Struthio camelus: one gene and its partners. The protein of the gene in region 1 purifies or fractionates together with the protein of each later gene. This does not show direct contact. Links are inferred from orthologs where the notes say so. Each region holds a gene or a part of one and is shown on either strand. Other genes may lie near its edges. The genes, in order: ARHGAP12, ASAP1 and TJP2.

Region 1 (7,103 bases):
CACAGAGGACATCTGTAAGCTTTAGCACCTTAAATAAAGTCTCTGAATTCTCTTAACCTGATTAAGAGATTAATCATTATGAACAGACCCACTAACAAAGACATAAGAAAACTTACCATGAACACCAAAAATTAGACTCAAGCCACACTTTTCTTTTGATAAAGTAAAGCCTCAATGCCACAGGTAACTAATTTAAGGTGGACTACACCCCTACACAGAAATACATTCCACCATTTTACAAAGCATTCATGCTGTCTCAGAGAGAAAGCTCACTTGTGACTATATACACAGCATTGGCTGCTCATCATCTAAGAAACAACTGCAAAGCCAGCACCGAACTGTACTCCCTACACTGAAGAAACAGACCGCTGAAAGATCTTTCACTAGGTATCCAGGCATAGATTTCTTCAGGCTCCAATTTCCGATGGGAACCGTTCCCAACTCTTACTCAGCTAAGACTGAGTAAAACTGGCAATGCTTGGTATTTACAGAGGTCGGCTCCTCCCTTCCCTTCTCCAGCCCTACCTGGAGGGTGCTGCTGCTCCCTTGCCCTCCGGCTGCCCAGTTCATCACAGCGGGGCCTGCACCCTGAGAGCAGTGCAACACAACCCCACACCTTCCTGGGAGCATACCCTCCCTGCTCTTGCTGGGGGAATTATATGCTTTTCTCAAAGGGGGAGTAAAGGTAAAGTTAGATTTTGCATGGTAGCGCTTGACACTAGCAAGATTCTACATATTTCTAAATAAGCTAGGATCTTTTCTAATCAAGTCTAAATTACTGCAATGACATCTCCAAACGTTATTAGACTGGTTTGGTTTAAGATATCTTTATGCTTGTTTAGAAGTAGGCCTTTTCTAGTCCACGTAACCCTATAGCAACATATTTACCTATTTAAAGTAGTAAAATCAATTTAATTTTAACTGCAGGAAAATACTCACTAAATTGCTCTTAAAGTCCATCCGAACGGTCTTGAACCATGGCCCTAACACGTATACACCTATATAAATATTTTAGTCATGCCTAACTTCAGCATTCAGCTAGAACTCAGACCAAAACACAAAACAAACAAACCAAACACAGCACGTACACAACAGATGTTTCATACCTTTTTTTTGAAGTTATCATACACAGAATATTTTTTTAATCTTTTAGAACCAAATTAAAACTTTGCAATATGTCAGGAAGTCTTTTTCCAGTTCTTTTATTTCCCTCTCAGAAAAACCTTAATCACCATGGCTACGGAATTTTTGTTTGCTTCACAGTACAAACAAACGATAGGTTACAGAAAAAAAATTGAGGATTTCAAAAGATTTCCTTAAAATTTTGCCTGTGCCCTTGTTAGTGATGTCCTACAAAGCAGCAGCAGTTGACAGTTGATTGTGTAATCCTTTTTCCATTTTCAGCATCAAACTTCACCCATTTCAGTAACGAACCCTTCCATGATGCTGACACAGAAAGAAATTCAATTACTGAAGCTAAATTAGGATGAATTCTTATCAATTCAGGCCAGATAAAACACATTGGCTGCTGCTGACTAGATTCATTATTTTGTCCTCCGCAGTCAGTTTTCTCAGTAGTTCAAGGAGATACAGTGCACGGCCATTTCTTGGGAGACCGGTCCCACAATAATCTTGGCTTTCAGTCAGAATTCGACCCTATTTATGCCTTTCTTCCAAAGGGGCACCATTCCTTATCTAGCATAACTAACTTTTCAGCCAAATTTTCAATTCAGTCAGATTCAACAGTGACAACCAACCCTCACCGAACTAGCGCCTGTGAAAAACATCTGCGAAGTGTAGGCTTTTAAGTACGGAAACTGGGAGTAGCACTTGTAACACTCATCTAACATATGCAGAAACCCACTCTCTTGTCAGAGTATCGCAAAGCCAAATTCTCCATACACTGAAATTGCATAGGAGACATCAACTTAAGATTTTACAGCAACCATTTGTAAGCAAACATCATTTAAAAAATATAGCAAAAAGGCAAACGCAAACAACGAATATAAACAAAACGCAGGCAACTCACAAATCCTAGAAAACAAGCTGAATCCTGCACCCTTTCCTCAGGAAAAAAGCACTACAGAGATCAAGTACTATTCCAAACACTAGATTCCCAGAGCTCCGACTTCCTTAAGAATTAAAGGCATAATAAGTAACCATTTAATAATTACCTACTGACTCAGAGCACTGAATAAGTGATGTATTTTAAACAACTGTCAGGGCAGCTCTTAAAGCCACGTTACAGCTCTCGGCACCTTAACCAGCTTACAGAGCATCGCCGGCCGCCACTCGCTCCTCCGCGCTGCGCGCTCAGGTTAAGTTGTTGACTCGCCCGAGCAGCCCCAAACAGCTCCGCACGCCCGTGCCCGCGCCCCGCGCCGCCGCCTCCGCCTTACTTAAAGGGCACCGAGAGGCGCAATCAGCGGGGCGCGGGGGCCGCCGCCGCCGCCGGGCCGCGGAGCCCTTTGTTCGCCGCCGCGCCGCGCCGCTCCGCGCCGCTCCGCGCGCCGGCAGGTGCCGCGGCCGCGCGAGGCCCGCCGAGCCCGCGGCGCCCAGGTGCGGAGCCGCCCTCCGGCCGGCGGCCGCTCCGCGCTGCCCGCGGCGGCACAGAGCCGCGCCGCGGCCACCCCCGCGGCGGCACCGCGGCTGCCCCGCGCGGGGGGCGCTGCCCGCGGCGGGGGGCCCCGGCAGGGCGGCGACTGAGGGAGGAGGGGAAGGGGGGAGAACCGGGGAGCGCCGCCGGCTCCCCGCCCGGGGCAGCGCCTCACGGAGCCAGAGCCGGCCGAGGGCGGGCCGCAGCGCCGTGCCCGCGGGCGCCGACGTGCCCTCCGACCGCCTCAGGGCCACCCAGCCCGGCCCGGCTGCCCCCGGGGCGGCCCACGCTCCTCCGACCCCCTCCTCCTCCGGCGCCGCCGCTGCGGGCGGCCCCCCGCGCCCCCCTCACCTGCCTCGGCGCCGCGCCAGGCCCGCTGCCCGCTCCGGCCGTGATGATGATGGTGGTGGCGGCGGCTCCCTCGCGGCCCCTCCGCCCGCCCCGCCGGAGTGTCACCTCCAGGGCACGGCGGCGTCACCGCTCTCGCGTCACGTGCCGGGGGCGGGGCGGGGCCAGGCGGGGGTGTGTCGGGAGGGAGGCGCGGGAGGCGGCGGGCGCTAGGACCGGCGCGGCGGGGGGGCAGGACGCCTGCGCGGCTGCGCCAAGGGCAGGGGCGGGCGCTGCGGGCGGCGGGCAGTCGGTGCGGGTGCGGGTGCGGGTAGCGGTACCGGGGCGGGTGCCGGGTGCTGCAGGCTGCGTGCCCCCGGCGTTAACACCGCCCCCGAAAGCCGTTCAGGCTTTTACTGCTGCGGAGGGAAATAGCTATCCCTTTCCGTATGTCATAGAAGGAACGGATGGAAAACAAAGTCTCCGCCCTTTAAATAACCTGACCGAAAAGAAATAAGAATAGCCGTACTCCGCTATTCGGCGTCGTCTTGCTTGGTGTCTCTAATTACATGAGTCAAAGATGTCAGACATCCAGCCTGGAAACACTCGTGTGACCTTCGTAGCTTATTCAACTTGTAAGGGATCTTATCTTTCCCTTTAAAACCAGTATTTCCTCCTCATGGGTGCGAAGACGGCCTTGGAAGCGTGGGCTGACCGGGGCCGGAGGGGCGCTGTCCGCAGGCGCCCCCACACCGCGGGCCTGCGGCGCGCCGCCCGCCCGTCCTGCTCGGTCCGGCCCGGTCCGGTCCGGTCCGGCCCGGTCCGGCCCGACCGCCTTCCGTGGCTGGTGGCTGTAGCGCGTGCACTAAGGAAGGGGGCGCGGTGAAGCCCTCAGGAGCGGCTTGCTGAGGGGAGGGAAAAGCCACGGGAAGAGGCTTGAGGGGTGCGGACAAGGGAGAGGGAGGCACGGAGACGGCCTCGGAGCAAAAGGGGAGCAGAGACAACGGCGTAAATAGGTGTAACCGAACCTGCGGACGCGTTTTCGTACGGAGCGATACTTCCAGCGTCGCTGTGTCCTCGGTGCCGGCCCTCAGGTGACCTGTGACAGCGCACCAGACAAATCGTGAACAGTGCAACACCTTAAAGCTTTACTTCTGTGTATTGTAGCCTAAATACTTACGGAAACGTCCCCTGGGCACCCAGGGTAACTTGGCTTCGGGCTCACTCTCTGCCCACAGAACGTCATTGTTAAAACGCTGCAAACTGTCGACGGCATGAGGCTGATCAGGTGGGCCGCCATCAGACCTGCTCCTTCCACAGTTATCCGCAGAGTCGGGAAAAGCGGAGCAGAGGCTGGGGTTTCTAATGCAAGGGAAACATCATCTTTTGTACAGTTGTTCATTTATATCATTAAAAGGCAAAATAAACCCTTAAAAATAAAGTGTTGTTTGGCATTCATGCTTTTCTTTTGTGAATATATATATATATATATTTATAAGATACAGAGTAACTGAAGACAGTGTTCAGTTCATGCTTTTGTCTAATAACATTCTGCTTGCATACCCAGTTCTGCAGGAGAAAATAATGTACGTAAAAGCCTTGGGTATTTCTAATTGAGCTCACTGCAATTTATCTATCGATACGCCTGAGGTATACATAAAAGCATCTCAAAAATCAGGCACAGTAGCCACATTGTCGTTATCCTTCCTTACTCCTAAGGCTTCACTAGACTGCTGCAGGATATGGCATTAGTGATTCAGTATGAGGCACTCTTCCCTCTGAGTCAGTGTTGAACTGATGGTCCTGCATACTGTTGACATGCATAATAGAGCTGAAAGTGCCAGGAGATATGTAATTTTGAGTCTCTGCCCAAGTACAGTCATGAAATATTCCATACTACCATATTACAAATAAACTGTCCAGCACTAGTTCCACCTTTACCATCTTTTACACATTCTGCCTGTGAAAAATAGCTCTATAATTTCACTGGACTAAAAAGAGAGTTGAGAACGTTTATTCATCATGATTTATTTTTCCTGGAGATGTGCTAGCATAGGATGGCTATCATACTGACACCTCAGACAGGACTATATACATACATTAGTCAAAAAAATGAATTTCAGAATTTCAGATCATGAATTTCAGATCAAAAGAATCATTAAATATAACTGCTGTACATAGTGGAAGTGAGCCATGGGAGAAACTACAGGAGTCTCTAATTCTTGTATCTAATTGCGTTCTGAATGTTTCTGTATCATAACTCACATGCTGAATGTGACTCTCTTATCTTTGCAGACTGATTCCATATGAAAAGTCGATGTTTGATTCGAGTCTCTCTGTCCTGTTGCCCCATATCTTTCAAAACCATTGTCCAAATTCAGCTGTGTTTACCGAATGGGATTTGTCCTCAAAGATAATCCAGATCCTACAAGTTTTCGGAAAACAGGCAGCTACAGAGGAGTGCAAGAGAAGCCACATAAGAAAGTGACACCAATCATGGAGAAAAAGTTGACCCAATACTTGCAATCTTTCACGAAACACAAATCCACTGGAAACAAATTTCACAATTGTGAAAATCTTGTCTTGGAAAATTGAAGTTATGGCATTTGAATTAGACATAGAAAGGATAGTTATTCGCCTTAGAGTCACAATTTTGAAATATCAGGTTCACATTTATAAAAAACCTGAGTCCATTAAATTGGAAGGGCAAAATTCCATTTTACTTTTTTGCCATTTTTCCTGCCTGTGAGTCCCCTAATTCAAATCTCTGCAAGTTCAGCTGTCCATTAGTGTATAGCTTGGCTGCAGTAATTCTAAATGAGTGTGACGCTCTGATTCATTTCAAATGCATGCCTAAGATGCATTGCCATCCTGTTATTCATAATGCCAGGACTGATGTTAGGTAAGTAATAGAAATGTGCTGCCTAAAACGTGATCATTGTTAAGTCTGGGTTGTTAATTCATTCTTTAACTCCCTTCCCCCCCTTGCCAAACAGACTAATCTTATTATGAACTGTATTGATTCTTTCTTTCAGAAACGCAAACACCAAAAGCTTTCTCGCATCTAGCAGACAGACACTGCAAGTATCCACCTTACTCATTTTGCTTTCTCCTTAGTTTTTCTTTCCTTTTGTTCAAGGACTTTTTCTCTGCGTTTTATGTTATAACCTAGGTAGTGATAGGCAATAGAGAAATCATTCTGAATTTAGAGAAAGAATTGCACTTAATTAAGCAAACAATTCTGATACAAAGAGAAAATATTTTTATTTTACAGTACCTTCAAATATTACTTAAAAGTTTATTTTAAAAAATGGTTCAGTTTCCTAATACAAAGTACATCTCTTGGGGCATCTCCTGTCTGCTCTGCTCCTACTCTCAATTTTTTGACAGGCTTCTAACCTCTATCTAAAAATAGTTCTACCACCTACCCATATACATACAATCAATTCCTCCTTTCTCTTCTTTCTAACTACTACAAAAGCACTTTTTAACAAAGTGCAGATACTGTGGATTTTTTGCATGAACTTGTCAATTTACTCCCAGTCTCCTGACTCAACTAAGAAATGAGCCATTTTTATTTATGTAACTGTACATTGTGAGGAAAATCAAGCGAAATGGGAACAAAGAAAGCAAATAACATAAAAAAGGAACCTAGATTTCTCCAAAGTTCAGCAAAGAACTTGTTCCACCATTACAATTCGAAGGAATGTTCTCTGCCTTAAGGAGGAAGAGTTAGTCAAAAGTTCAGAGAAGGTGCTTGGTTTACCGTGAAAATTCAGAGGGGAATTTGTTAGTCTTCCACCTTTCCAGCAGATTGGTTTTTTACATCACGTGAATTAGAATGGAGTATGATTGGCACATACTTTTTCACTTCATACTGTTTATTTGCCACGTGGCCACTGCGATGTTCAGTATTTCTATATTTTTCTGAGTTCATTCAATGGTAAATGTTCCAGAAACTCAGATCTAATTATTGTTCATATAGCAGTCTCAGTTTCAGACTGAAAAACAGTTTTGTACAACTATCTGATTGTTGGCCTTATTAAAGAACAAAGTAATCTTTGTTTTGGTCCTATATTGGTCGGAGTTGGAACTGTTCTTTTCTTGCCAAAGAGAAGCTCATTAGTTACCTGTTAAGTAAAACTGTGTATCTCTTTTTTTCTTTTTGAGCATAATATTC
Region 2 (7,504 bases), about 150 Mb from region 1:
CCTTCTTCCTGGAGGTCATTACGAGGTAGGCACCTAACCCTCTTGTACATGTTTGAAAATCTCAGCCGTGGTACTGCTAGCATGACTTCTAGCACCACTTGTGGCAGCAGGAGTGGTGGTGAAGGGTCAAGTCTCCCGGCACCGGGAAATCCTAAGGAAGAGGTCAAAAGCAACAGTACAGATGCAGCTGTGCTGTGTCGGAGGGCCTAGTTACGCAGGCACTGTACAGGGAGCCGGTGAGCCCGCTGCACGAAGCGTAGCCTCGCTCTCCGGTAGCACCCTCTGAAGTGTTGCAGCACACAGTAGGGGGTGAATCAGGAAACCACTTCTCAGAGCAAATCTCTAGCAGCCAAGAACGAATTGGAGAAGTGTTTTGGGCCTTGCGCAAGTGGGGATTTGCTGCTGAAGTCTCAGGGAGTTAACACTTGTGCTTGGGGGTGCGAGCTGAAGGTCACACACCACAAGCAGGGCGGCTGCTCTGGGCACGCAGCAGCTATGTGTGACGCAGTCCCCTAGCTTTAAAAGTAGCGTTGCCTCTTCTCTGAGCTGCGAGGCCCAGGCCATCTTCCCCTTGGCTGATGTAACCTTGCAATTTGTTATTTCTGAAGCCAGTGGGTAGCAACTCAGATGCTACCCCTTGTCCTTGTTCTTTTTCCTCTGCCCTGTTCTGCTGGAAGTGTCTTTATCTGGCAACGTCTAGCGCATGTCAACATAGGGAAACAAATAGAGCCAGAGTTGGATGCTGTGGTTTCTGATTTGCTTGCCTATATATTCAGAAATTATTAATATGTTCTAAGCAAATCAATATGGCTTTAACGACTGAGAAGAAAAAGAAATGAACTCCAGTCATTAAGCACTAATTGCACAATTACTATTTTATATAGGCAGGCCTGGCAACGAAACATCTGTCTGACTGGCTGCAAAGAGATCACCAAATCAATTATTTGCTTTAACATTTTATTCTTTCCCAAACTAGACATTTGTTCAGCTTGTTTACTCATACCACAAGGCCACAAGCTGTGTAGTTAGTAATAAATGAGTGAATACATTTATCTTTGGAAACTTGGGCCAAGCCAAAGAGTTGTTTGGTCACTTGTTTTTCTAGGAGAATAACACATGTGAGATTTACTCAGATGAATCTCATTACAGCAATAATGGGATTGCCTGTGTTAATTGCCCACATAATAAATTCCAATAACGACAGTCAGGATTTTACAGTATACAGCAGGTTTCTAGCATGAAATAACAGACCATCATAGCAATGCTGGGAAGTACAAGGACATTTTACCTCTCTAACAGAGGCGAACGCGGGAGGTGGGTTCTGCCTGTTCGACACCAGCGTCTCAAGCAACTAACGCTAATCTCCTGTGCAAGCAGGCAGCCGGGTGGCGGCCAGACTGCAACCTCTGTGCCTCGGCGGCCGGCGTTTCCCTCCCTCTGCCTACAGGTGTGACCGTCCCCGTTGAGGGAGAACAAAAGGGCAAGTCCTTTCCCCATTCCCACCTTGTGTTCCCAAAAGAAAACTGACCGAGTGCAGTTAGGTGTTTAGCACCGGGCCGTGAGAGAGGTCGCTTAGAGAGCAAGGCGGGTGACGGAGCGCTTCGTGCTGCGACTGCTGAAGACTGCTAGCCTTCGCCGCTCTCCGTTTTTGCCTTGTTGTGTATTTTGTGTTGATTCAGGGCAGTCAGCGCACATGACACGTGATGGCTCCCACAGCCAAGTGTGTGGCATATTAATGCCCTGCCCCTATAGCACTCGTGCTGTGCAAAGCCATGGAAGAATTTCAGCAATTTTGCATGCTTCTGCTGCCCCTCCGCATTTCTCTTGTATCCACAATAGCAGTTCCTAGGCCCCTTTTCCCCTTCTTTTCCGGCTCGGCTTCCTTGTTTACTTCTCTGGCCCTGTCCCATTCAAAAGGGACTGTATGCGCACAAAGCAAAAGGATTTCAATACATGTAAAATAATGAAGCTTTACAAAGCAAACGCATTATGCAATTTTCTCCGCCTAAGCTGCTTAAATGTTGTGGGAACAACACATTCCAGTAACTTTTTTGGAATAAAATCCTGTGATTGAGAGAGACTACAGCAAGCAGGTTACACACACACAGACCCCGTGTCAGCTCCAAACTGGTTATTTTGCTGGAGTATGGTTGAACTGAACCCATTAGAGCTGATGTGCAATTAGAGAGACATACCTCTCCTTCTCTCCCTTTCCTGTAGCTTAGAGCAGCTAATTTTAATTTTAATTTCCCGAAAGTCACCGTTCCCACAAACACAGCGCGGGTTCCCCGCTCTAAGATGAATCCGTTTATATCTCCAGCCTGGGTAAAATGAAGCCACTATTTTAAAATCTATAAGGGTAAGTGGATCCGATACTCACGTGGACACGCTCCTTTTCTGCGGGGAAGCTCTTACACACAGAAACGTTAACAGGATTTACAAAATCCATCTGTTTGCAAAACCGGCATCTCCGAGTGCATTCAGATTTGTAAGTCACAGCAGGTGCATAAACTGTGGCTGACTCATGCGGCATACAGAGCGACTAATACTGCTCCCCGTTTCCTCTCCCTGACAAAGAGCACATTTCTACTCCTCAGACCGTTCTGAAAAGCTGATTCGAATTTGCCGAGTCAGAGAATTCGGAACCCAAAACGCTGGAATCACTGGATTCAGCAGGGAAATGTTGGAAGTGGAAGCCCAGCGACAAGAGGCTCACCATTTCCGCTGGCATTTCCAGAGCCCCTTATGGCTGAGGACCTCTAAGCTCCTTAGAGATACTAATGAATTAAAGCTACAGCATTCCAGAGTGCCGGGTAATTTTATTATCCCCTCGGCTAAGAGGAAAACGGAGACACGGAGAAAGTGGCTGGCCTGTGGTTTGTCTGCTTAGCTGCTGTGGGAGGAGGCTCTGGGATTTCAGCACGCGCCGCGCAGCAGCGGCGTTAGAGGAAAAGCCGTCGGGCTCTTTTGGGGCGAGGGGAAGGTGTCTAGCGAGTAGTTTTCCCTCACTGGAATAAATGCAACACATTCTGTTTTTCTAATGCTAACAGAGGTCTTCTGTCCACCCTCTCCGGGGTTCCCAAAGGATCGCAGTCACAGAGCAGTCGGTGCAAGGCTGCTCGCTGAGGGCTCCTCAAAGAGGGAGGAGGCAGAGGACACTTCCTTCCTTGGGCTGTGCCCTCCCATACCGGGCAGCTGACATTTATTTGTAGCTTGGATGTGGGATAAAAAGAGCCCTTTGTCACATGCTCAGCGCTCCAGAATTGATGAGAGAGCTTATCTTTACAAACATAAGTGTGAAAAGGTCGGGGCTGCCGAGGGGATTTCATTTTGCTGTTTTTCTGAACAGGCTTTTCCTTCCCCTCTATGCCTTTCAACTGATGCTTCTTTCATCCAGTTTGTTTTCAGGTTGGATTTTGAACAGGTTTCCCATGCCGGCCCCAGCGAGGAGCAGGAATCCCCAACGCTTCGAGAAATAAAACAAAGAAGCCAAAAGCTTAAAGTGCCAGAAAATTTAGAAATTATGAAATCAGACCAAATCAAATCGATCGGGCAACGTATTTCAGTTCCCCTTCAATTCATTGGTGACTTTGATTTACATGAAAATATGATGACGGGGTTCATTCAGGGAACCATCAAGCCTGGAGCCTCATCAGAGCCATGGGTCAGCGGTCTCATGGGCCAGCTGTAGTTCAGCATATGGCCAGCATATAGGAATGGGAATCGCCCCATCTCATGTTAGACATCTGCATCTGAGCTTGTGGCATAGCCTCCCTGCACAGTCAATCAGAAGGCATGAGCCCTCCTAGCATGCCTAGATCGGCTGTCTGCTTTAGGACGGGGTGAATTTCTGCCTCCAAGTGCAAGTTTCTCTCATTTCATCATCAGAGGAGTCTCGATGATGAGCTCAGATATGCTTGTCTATGTTTTAGGTACCTTCGTCTCTTTGCAAGAATCCCACCCTTCATTTCCAAGTAAATGCCGGACTAATCTGGCGCCAAATTTTTATCTGCTGTCGATACTACTGGCAAGATGTGGCTCTTGGTGACTGCTGCTCACGTTCGGTGTGTAGGCACTAAGACAGGGCTCTGCGGAGGTATTCAGATTAACTTTAACTTTGCTGTCTGGGCTAGGGGCAGGATGTAAGTTGTGCTGATATGAAGCTCAGAAGCGCGTTTACCCTCTCTCCTGGATGCTTTTTGCAGGTGCGTAAAATGTCTGCAGTGAGAATGTGACCTGACAGCTATCATATTAAAAGCAATTTCCTGTATGTTGAGAGATTCACTACCCTCTTGCAAACACTAGCTCACATCACACCGTGTTGTTGTATGTATTTCTAAGGCATCTTCCCACTAACCTTATGTGACAACAGTGTAATGAAGATTTGTAGAGATGTCCATAGCAGACACAGTCTTTTTTACATCTTCTGTGCTTGCTAGCTCTCTTGCTGTGCTTCTGAGGTTTTTTTTTCTAGCTGCGCTTCCTTTTTTTTTCTTCTTATTCTGGGGAAGAGCTCTGTAAAGAGGGTGAGTCATGTGCCACATGCTTGGCGAATGATCGTGCTCACAGGCTCATTCTGTTTTCCTGTCAGGGGGTTTGGAGTCAAGAAGAAGCTTTTGACTGGAAATGTTTTATCACCAGCAGAGGTGGGTCAGAGAGTCATGAATGGAGAGGCTGTTGAAGCAATAGCAGATCCTTGAATCGTCACCTGAAACGTGTTGGAAACAGCAGACCATTTGGGTAGAGACTGTGACCTAACACAAAGAGTCTCCTGGCCGCTGACAGCCAAGTGTTTGCTCCCTCCTCTTTTAATCTTCATGGTCCAACACCCAGGATCCTCTAGCTTGTGTTCCCTGGGGAATTTGCATTGCCTGCACGCTTGACATCAGTGCCGCTATGTGACATGTCCCTTCTGCACAGTTTGCTTTGATGGCTGGGCTGGCTGTGGTTGACTGTGGTGTACAGCTGAGAAAAGTAGATGCACATGGTTGCATTGGTATTGCACAGCAGCAGTGGCTGTGGTTTCTCCTGCAGTCCTTCTGCTCTCCACGTCAGGGTGAAAGCTCGTGGTGAGCTATTCCTCTGCCTGCTCTGGTCTGAAAGGAAACAGATATGTGCAAAGGGAGGAAATCAGCAGATCCCTTGGTCCAGGTGAGCAGTGCTCCATAACCTCAGGGCTTAATGCGCTGCACCCTAGTTTTCTTGTGGGCCACAGCCAGGTTGTGCAGCCTGACGGAAACAACACCAGGACCCCACGGAGGTCTCCTGCTCTCATCCTCACCCAGCTACCCATTCGAGATGAAATGGAGCAGTTTCTTGTTTGGCAGAAGAGGGCAGAGCTCTCTTCTCACTGCTGCTCTGTGGCTGTGCAGGACGAGCTTGCACCCTGGAAGGCCTCATGCCTCTGCATCAGGTGAAAGGCAGATGCCTTCAACAGAGGAAGCAGCACTGTCTGGTTTATGCCCTGTCTGACATATCTGGACTCATTTTGAAAAAGCTGGTTTTCATCTCGCTGCAGCTCTGTGGTACTTTACTAGCTGCACTTACATTTTGGATTAAACAGGTGACATACGAAACCAAAACACAGAACTACTGAAAGCCTCCTTCATTTTCTATTGCTCTCTGCTAGATGCAAATTAGCTTTTTCCAGAGGGCACCTCGCCACTGTTCACAGCAGCTGACTTTCCTGGGGTGGGGAGGGGAGAGAGGCAAATTGAAGGTCTATAGACGCTCTCCTCCAGCCAGTAGCAGGGCCTGGTGTGGTACTTCAGCAAAAATAGCTGTGCATTTGGATCTTCTCCTTAGCACAGCGCCTGGAAGTATCACAGACATTTATAATGCTACATAACATACAAGGCCTTGCCCATGTCACAGAGAAACTTGACCTAAATTTGCCATCAAAACACCTGCATTATCTATCTTGCCTAAGCGGCAGATCACAGACTGAGCAAAATCTTAAACACTGAGAGTTGTGTTTTTTTCCCCTCGTAGAATTAAATTTAAAAAAGCTTGTGACTGACAAAGGAAGTCTTACTTCAGTTTGATTTATTCTAAGCTGCCCTAAATATTTTGTTTTTCACTTCTGTTGAGTGAAGTATTTTGTACTGCAGGCTCATGGCAGCATCACAGACGGAGGGGAAATTCAGATATGGGGGAGCTGCACAGATGACTGGGATTTGAAGTATGAGAAGCAATTGGGTGATGTGAAATGTGCCCATAAAAATAATATTTTTAAGAGGTTTGTAAGATGTTGGATCACACAGAAAGAATTAACAGAACTGATATTTATGTTAGATTTCATACATAAGGGGCCAAATGCAACTTAAGATTTGATTGCAGTGAGATTAGAGGAGGAGAAAATATCCCTTCTGAATATAGGACACAGTCCAATGAGAGAAGTTCACATGTGAAATGATTTTACTCAACCACCTGGGCTAGGTACTTAGTTTCTTTAAAAATGTAACGTTTAGATTCTGAAGTCCAGGCCTCCAAGTTGTCTGATAATGTCCCAGGCTGCTGAACAGAGCATTTAAGGTAGCAGGCCCCATCTTTATGGAACATGTTGGCCCAGGTATTGTCCTAGACTTTGTTTCAAGCAATGAAATCAAGTAGTGACCCACAAAGAGGGGAGAGGAAGAGACAGGCTGAACCTCTACTTGCAGGGAGAATAGATACTCATATCCATCTCTCAGCAGGACTTCAGAAAGCACAGCTTTCATCTGGTTTTTCTTTCATGGCACATTAAAGGTGATTTCACTGGAGTGTTGCTCTGGCCAAGCATATCCAGGTTAAACTCTATCTCCGTTATGCCCTTCTGCTTGCGTTGTCACGTCAGGGCAGAGTGTGGATGGTCTGGCCTTGATCACCATTGCTCTGCTGGCCCCTGTTATACATACCATTATCTGGGTTATCTGTTGCTTGGTCTGTAAGGGTAAAGGCTGTTTTCCTTAAGGGAGTGGTTTTGTAATACCAACATAAAATATACTTTTGCTAGTATAGCTATCAGGTCAGAACCACTTCCCCGGCAGAGCAGTCCTGGGTAGAGGTAACCCACGCTTCTGACGCTCTCACAGCAAAACGCGCTGCGGTAGCCAGGTGAGGAAGCTGGCAGATGTTGAATGTAACTATAACACACATTGCTCAGTCTTGGAGAACTTTTCCTCATGTTCAGCCTGGTTTATTTTGAATTTTGCTGTTGCCAGGAAGAACTGCAGTAGGGTTGTAAGATTCCTAAGGCAGATGAGGGAAAGTCTTCTACCAGCATTTTGCTTATCTCAGGCACCACCTGGTGTCAGATGTGGCTTCTGAGTGCTACCTTTTCCGGGTCCTGGTTACACAGAACAGCATCAACAGTTATTTTATTTGGTGAAAGTTATTTTGCCTGATGAAAATTATGGCTGAGGCAAGAAGTGATGGATTGTTTTCGCTCCATGTGCATGTCACATGTCCACCCCTGGCTATCTGGCCACACTTCACAAAACTGCAGAGAGAAATTCCCTCTTGC
Region 3 (7,697 bases), on another chromosome or scaffold:
TTTTGCAGAACTTGTTCAATTACAGAACTTGTACAATTACTTGTTCAATCTACAAGTCTACACTCCATTTTATAGACGTGCCTCACGTGTGGCACCCACTTTTCCCTGAGTACGTCCATAATGAAGTCCGAGATTGAGAAAAGGAAGTTTAAAAGGTCTAAGGCATTACAAAAAATCATTTGGTCTCGGATGAACTTCTTAAGCCTCACAAATGCAGGCAGCTCCTGCCAATCACTTTGAGAAGACAAAAGATGTTCATTTTCATTCTCTGCTGACTCCTTCCTCCACAAATGCATCTTTCCAAAAGTAAGGCTCTACTAGTTCAAACAGACAGAAACTTAAGCATGAATTTCCACCGTCTTCAAAGAGCAGCAAAAGCTATGCATTATGAGCAAACATCGACTTCATTGTTCCAGGTTGTGTGCAGAGTAATAGTGTCTTTTCCAGAAAACAGCAGGAAAGTTATACAAGAAAGCTAAAACCAAAATACCATTGCTGTCATCATTTTGATTCCCTGTGAAGATGCGAACAGTTTCAAAGAATCCATCTGCCACAGAAATCGCGTAATTATTCCAAGTGAAATGGAAAAATATGCTTTATAATGACTTTCCTACGGAAACGAAAATGAACACCTTAGCAAAATAACACGCTTTTCTTCCTTGCCCTCTCTCACACCTTAGTCTGGGTTACTGTCAGTATTTTCACACCTCTCAAGTGATGGCACGGGAGTTGACATCCCACTTTAATGCTGATTTTCTTTCATTCTATGAGATGGTTGAGAGAAGCATAGGAAGAATTTAACTTAAGCATGCATTTGAATTTGTGCAGTGAGGAGGAGCCAGATACACTTTACATTCTGTACTAGCTTTTAGAAAATGCGCCATGATGGAAATTGGGGGAAAAAATAGCTAGTTTAAAAATGTTATTCAATTTGATTGGATTCTTTTTTATATGAACCTGATAGAGTACCACCAGAGGCTGAGTGACAAGCAGATATTAGCCAAGTGAGTTATAAATTTGCTTATTCCAATTGCACAGATCACAGTCCGCAGCTGCAAACAGAACAGCGCTCTTTTCTTCAAACCATGGTTCACTTCATGGCAATTGTTAGCTCCCAACCCTTAGTGCTCGGAAAGATCTAATAAAAGGATATAAGGGGTCCCTAATGAAGTCCAATGACAAAAGCTTTTCTACTTCTGTTGAATTGTCAGAATGGCAATTCTGTAATTCAAATACATTTTAAGAAGTTAAAATTCCAAGTGTGTACAACAATTACATCACTCGAAACCCCTCTATGAAAGAAGGGAGACGCCTGATTAATAACACTGGAAAGAAAAACAAGTATTAACAAGGCAGTATGTTTTGCATTTGGGTATTGACTAACACTCACTCGTAGATGAAAGCTTATCATTCAGACATTTAAGTAGTAAAGCAAAAAAGAAGGGATGCTAAAGTTAATAAGTTTCATTTTTAAATGGTTTGTTTCAAGTTGCTCCTCTAGCCAAACAAATCTACTTGAAGCACAAAGAGAAATTTTGTAAGAATGTGTCATTACATTCTAACACCGTTCCTCCAAGGATCAAGAGCCATCATGTAACTTTTTATCAACATGTAAAGAACGGCTGCAAGATTCAGAGAGATTGGCATGCAGATAACTCACATTAAACAATCAGAGGAAGTCAGAGTCAAGAGAACATGGGAAAGAAGTGTCTACAATGCATTGTACTAAGGATGCCTTCAAATGAGCACATTTTAACAAAAAAGCCAAAAAGCACTCCTCAGTGCAATACCAGCACACTAGGATCAACTTGAAGAATTTTTGTGTCAATGAAGAGGGTGGAAAATCTTAGCATCCAGTATTTTGTCATTTAGGTGAAGCAACTAAAAATCATATGGGTGCTTTATTTGAATTGGTATTACTGTTGATACCACTATTAGCAGAGGGGTTCTTGCAGAAAAATCATGAGCAAAATTAGAGTTCAGGTGATAGCATTTTTACTCCAAGATTTTCTTTGAAAATTTTCTCACACAAAACTAATCACAACCAGTACAAACTTATCTAACCATTAGTCTTCAACAAGTTTCTCAGATTTTATGTTCCTCTGCCATGTCTTAAACAACAGTACAACATTCTAATGCAAAACAAGAACAGGAGAGACTAGAAAGGCTATGAGGATATGCACCCACTGACGCTACTTACATAGAATGAGCAGATGGGAAAGAAGGACAATCCCTCTTCTCACATACACACTCTATGAGCACAGGAGTTTTTAAGACGATCACTTTTAGAGGGAAACTGAGTTACGAACGAACGAATTTTCTGAAGTCCAACATTCAAGTTAGGGGGTACAAGAAAGCACTCTGAATTGTTTTTAACCAGAACAGAATGCTCCCAATTTCATAGTCTGAACGCTTAAAAATCCTAATTGTTTTCTCTATTAATTGCTGCATATTTCCTTTATGAAAACAGTACTCCTAAATATGAGGAAATTTTGCTTTCTATTAGAAAAAGAAAGTGGGATACAAGCAAAAAAGTGGGTTTTTTTTTCTGCTTTTAGAAGCTGCTAGTTCTCCCATAGATAATAATTAAAATATGCACATTCTAACAAGGAGGGGGGGAACCCACACATACACATGCAGCAGGAGTAAGCATTAATACAAAATGACTATCTCGTTTTCATTGCAATAAGTATGCTCCTGTTTATCCTTTCTACTCTTTGAGCAAACTTTTAATTTAGAAATTATGCCTCTTTCTAATTGTCCTGGTAGCCAAGGACAGTAAATGCACAGAAATCTCTAATGAAACCACAGAGTTTAACTGCAACTGCAGAAGATACACTGCTTGGAAGGCAGACAAAAGATTACTTGTTTTTATGAATGACTCTTTCCTTTTCTCATAGAAGCGTTCAAATTGTATTCTTCAAGGTTAACACAGGTTTTCCCACAGTTACTCATTTATCTCGTTTGTAACACTTACCTGGGATGTTGCCAAAGGTTTGCATGTCTACCTTCAGGAAGCAGTTCCCTTTTGTTAAGGGGAGTTATGCCTATTGCTGCTTCTAAGATAGTTATATATTTCTTGTACCGCATCCTGCCTCTCTCAAGAGTTCCACCACGCTAAGTTGTCATCCAAACGCAGTCATGCTTCTGCACTTGTCTGAACGGTTGCTTTTCAAAACATACTGCAGGTTTCAAGCATAAAAATAATGCCTTCCCCCCCTCTACTAGGCATGGAGAGTTAGTCTGGGAGAGAAACCAAAGAAAAACTCCTGCCAGATTCCCCTGAAACGTCATTGTTACATAATTTGATCTTTGAGTAAGACACTAATGAAAATGATTGAAGAGACAATCACGGTTCTAAGCCTGGCCGGATAATGCACACTCTCCAATTTACTAATCCTTGGCTAAATCTCTGATGTTTATAATCTTTCAAGTACTAATGGAGCGCTAGGTAACTTCTCTCTCAGATCAACTGAGGGAATGAGATCTGCACAGAAAAGTTGAGAATTTTTTTTTACATACTCTGAAAGGTAATAATGGCTTTTGCTTCAACTTTTCTCCGTAGCACCAGGATTTATCTGTGATCTGAGCAGGAGAGGCATGGAGAAACATTCCCTTACTTCACTTACACAGAATTAAGCAAGATAAAGACTTCATTATGATACCTACTAGTCATACAAATGTGCCTCACACAACGCCAGAAGCCACTTTCCGTGTCAAAACTGTTCCAGCCATGACGTAAGTAATTGTGCATGCCAATGACCTCAGGTACTAACTACAAGCGTGGAGACAGATGTACAAGTTGAAGTAATAGTGGCATTTTAGATATGCTGCAGCACTGCCAAACTACAGTATTAAGAGAGACTTGCTTGACTGCAAAAAAGATTAACAAAGGAAATGTTGTAATGCTACATAGATAGTAAGATACTAACTATGAAAGTTTATATATAATTTTATATATACTATTTCTATTGTTGTATAGGTTATTTTATATAAACATGCAAAAAGAACAGACGGGACGGGAAGCATTTATCCTAAAGACCTGGCCAAAAACCCCTCTGCAAACTGCGTATTTTAACTATTCTCTAGTAGTAAAATGCCTATATTTCTGCTGAGGTGACTTTGTATAGAATGTTACATATTTTGAAACCTTTAAGATGGAAACTACAACTTCTAAACTTATACTGTAAAATATTCAGCCCTACACAATGAATTCTTGTACAGTTATTTCCAGTCCCTGTATTATTCACTCTTCTGTATTACTTACGCCCTACCTGGCACTCAATATATTAAGTTACATTGTAACTTAAGTTCACTTACACAAAATATGCACACACTGAACCATCTCAAGTGAATTATTAAATCTGCTCAACTGACTTTAAAATAGCAATATAAAATTAAGCAGTTTACAGATTCAAGAAATAAAACGACAAATAACTGACAAAAGGAAATCTGCAGTTTATACCTATCTAGTTGTACATAGATATGTAAGGAATACGTAATCTGGAAATTTGAGATGTATTAGGAAATCACAGAGTCACAGAATGGCCAAGGTTGCAAGGGACCTCTGGAGATCACCTAGTCCAACCCCCCTGCTCAAGCAGGGTCCTCTAGAGCACAGTGCACAAGATATCCAGGCTGGTTTTGAATATCTCCAGCGAAGGAGACTCCACCACCTCTCTGGGCAACCTGTGCCAGTGCTCCGTCACCCTCACAGCAAAGAAGTTTTGCCTCATGTTCAGACGGAACTGCCTGTGGTTCAGTTTGTGCCCATTGCCTCTTGTCCTGTTGCTGGGCACCACTGAAAAGAGTATGGCTTTCACCCTCCCTTCAGATACTTGTACACGTTGATGAGATCGCCTCTCAGTCTTCTCTTCTCCAGGCTGAACAGCCCCAGCTCTCTCTGCCTTTCCTCACAGGAGAGATGATGCTCCAGTCCCCTCATCATCTTAGTGGCCCTCCGCTGGACTCTCTCCAGGAGTGCCATGTCTCTCTTGTACTGGGCAGCCCAGAATTGGACACAGCACTCCAGGTGAGGCCTCACCAGGGCTGAGGAGAGGGGCAGGATCACCTCCCTCCACCTGCTGGCAATGCTCTCCCTAACGCACCCCAGGATCCCATTGGCCTTCTTGACCACACGGGCACATTGCTGCCTCATGCCCAGCTTGCTGTCCACCAGCACTCCCAGGTCCTTCTCTGCAGAGCTGCTCTCCAGCAGGTCAACCCCCAGCCTGTCCTGGGGCATGGGGTTATTGCTGCCAAGGTGCAGGACCCTGCCCTTGCCTATGCTGAACTCCATGAGGCTCCTCTCCTCCCAGCTCTCCAGCCTGTCCACGTCCCTCGGAATGGCAGCACAGCCCCCTGGTGTGTCAGCCACTCCTCCCAGTTTAGTGTCATCAGCCAACTTGCTGAGGGTGCACTCTGTGCCTTCCTCCAGGTCACCGATGAATGCATTGAACAAGACTGGGCCCAGCACTGACCCCTGGGGGACACCGCGAGCTACAGGCCTCCCACTGGACTCTCCACCGCTGACCACAGCCCTCCGAGCTCTGCCGTCCAGCCAGTTCTCAACCCACCTCACCGTCCACTCATCCAGCCCACACTTCCTGAGTTTACCTACGAGCATGTGATGGGAGACAGTGTCAAAACCCTTCAGGAAAGCAGCTAATGTATTAAAAACATAGAAATAAAGTGAAGCTAAGTATTACTTTCGCAAGACCAAGGAAAAAAAAAAAGCTACAATACTACAATTTCAAACATCTGCATACAAAGTAGTAAGAACCTTGGGAAAGTGAAATACTAGTAGCAGTCTGTAAGCACAGCTAATGTCATCAGGCCTGCATGCATCCTGACTTTTGAGAGCGTTAGCAGCCCTATTGTGCAGGCAGTATTGACTAGCAGTTTGTTGACTATTTCAGTTTTTAAACACCTTCTGAATGTAGTAATTCATGATAATAGTCAGTCCTGCTTAATCAGAGAAACATTTTGATGAAATCCAATCTGCCTTTTAAGTTAGTTTTGTTTTCAATGTTATCACAATTTCTCATACGTTTTGGCACTTCTTTCCACCATCACCACCCCTTCACCTTTTTTAACCTTACATTTTTCCCTTAGAGATATGAGGAACAGATTCTTCCTTACAAACACTTCCCAATAGCATGCTTAGAACTATGATTCTGAAAAAAGTGAAAAAATTGTTTAGTGTAGCTCTAATTAATCTGTTATTTGCTTGAGTAAAGCCAAATAACTCTGACTAGAATAGGAGCCCCGTGACCAGCCTTGTACACAGAGAGCTCACAAACAAACTCATACAGTAAGCATAAGTCACTCCCAAGCACTCCTCTTAGCTAGCTTGTTCATGAATCTTAGATATGCAGAGGGAGTAAGACTGACTCACAAGTTATCAATTTCCTTCAACTTTGTTTGAAAACAGAAACTCAAAGCTATTAGTACATCCATTGTTTGCCCTGAAAAAACTATCCCTCAGTAACAAAGGGTCTAAAATACATCTACGTTCATTGTTTCCTGTTGAGGAATATCATCCACTCCCCTTCTAACTTTGTGTTTTTCAGGCAGAAAGAACACCAAGTTTTAATGGAAAGAGCACAGATCAACTGGGAACATACAAGTGAACAAACATAATCTAATAATTAATCTGTTAAAGAAAAACACTTGTGTCAGCTTCGGGAACTTGTGGTCCTCAACCATGCTCATGAAGAGAACAGCAATGGACAGCCTGAATTTTAGCAAAAAGAAATCTTTGCTTTTTCACCATACTTGTGTTCTCTGCTCAGCTTCTCCTTACAAGTCTGCCATGTTGATTACTTCTCAGTTTTCAAAATAAAGAAAATGAGGTAACATGTATTTCTATCAAATTGATATAATGCATTGTGGCAATATATCAAAAGACTTGGAAGGTACGCTGGCTGTAGGGAAAGAGAACCCTGTGAGAACTGAAAGCTTTTTTTACGTCTGTTTCAAAGTCTCTTACTCTATTCTGTGCTTTCTTAGCTGAAAGAGAGAGAAAAAAAAATCAGTCTTGTGACAATGATTTCAATGCAAATAAAATTCTATAAGTGATATTTGCAAAAGCAGTTCAGAAATTATATTATTCTCATTCATTCTATACAAATTCTAGACTGTTGCAGTAGATGGTTTGGCAAGTGAGAAGTAATTCAGGGAAAGGGGAAAGAATGACAAATGTTCTTTTCTGCATGAAAGAAACATTTATGAGATCAAAGTGAAAGTTTTCTTTTGCTCAATACATGAAAAGAAAGAGTTATTAGATTTAGAGCATATTTCATGTAAAAGCTGATGACAGATGCATGATTCCATCTTCAGTCACTTCAGATCCAACTGCAAAGGAAACAGCCATTGCCAAGCATAGCCACAAATTACTTTCCATCTTAGGAAACAAAATTCTCTTCTTTCTTCTCTCTCAACAAAAAAAGTCTGTAACACCTACAGGTTAAAGAATTCTATCGTGAGGAGAAAAAAGAAACAAAAGGATTTTCCTGCATTCTTACTCTTGGATGACAAGAATAACCATGACAGATAAAGTTAACTTCCAGCGTTACTTAGAGGGCATATGTGTTTTCTTGTTTGCGCCATATAGCTAAGAAACGCACATGTTAAGCTTGATCTGTCAAAATAATTTTGAGGCAAAGGAGCATCAAGGATCAATTTTTTTGTGGGAG

What was found.
Region 2: the proteins of ARHGAP12 (region 1) and ASAP1 purify together in Homo sapiens (co-immunoprecipitation; 3 studies listed by BioGRID and IntAct, with this or other methods). This does not show direct contact. The link is inferred for Struthio camelus from reciprocal best matches to the Homo sapiens genes ARHGAP12 and ASAP1.
Region 3: the proteins of ARHGAP12 (region 1) and TJP2 purify together in Homo sapiens (co-immunoprecipitation; 3 studies listed by BioGRID and IntAct, with this or other methods). This does not show direct contact. The link is inferred for Struthio camelus from reciprocal best matches to the Homo sapiens genes ARHGAP12 and TJP2.

What each region holds. Positions count from the first base shown.
Region 1 is NC_090943.1:17,148,948-17,156,050, reverse strand, and holds the start of ARHGAP12 (rho GTPase-activating protein 12), read right to left. Parts: upstream 3,087-7,103; 5' UTR 2,952-3,086; exon of another isoform or gene 2,948-2,951; intron 1-2,947. UniProt on the Homo sapiens protein: GTPase activator for the Rho-type GTPases by converting them to an inactive GDP-bound state.
Region 2 is NC_090943.1:163,101,542-163,109,045, forward strand, and holds the start of ASAP1 (arf-GAP with SH3 domain, ANK repeat and PH domain-containing protein 1), read right to left. Parts: upstream 3,062-7,504; 5' UTR 2,381-3,061; intron 1-2,380. UniProt on the Homo sapiens protein: Possesses phosphatidylinositol 4,5-bisphosphate-dependent GTPase-activating protein activity for ARF1 (ADP ribosylation factor 1) and ARF5 and a lesser activity towards ARF6.
Region 3 is NC_090982.1:25,650,061-25,657,757, reverse strand, and holds the start of TJP2 (tight junction protein ZO-2), read right to left. Parts: upstream 3,091-7,697; coding exon 2,978-3,090; intron 1-2,977. UniProt on the Homo sapiens protein: Plays a role in tight junctions and adherens junctions. Acts as a positive regulator of RANKL-induced osteoclast differentiation, potentially via mediating downstream transcriptional activity.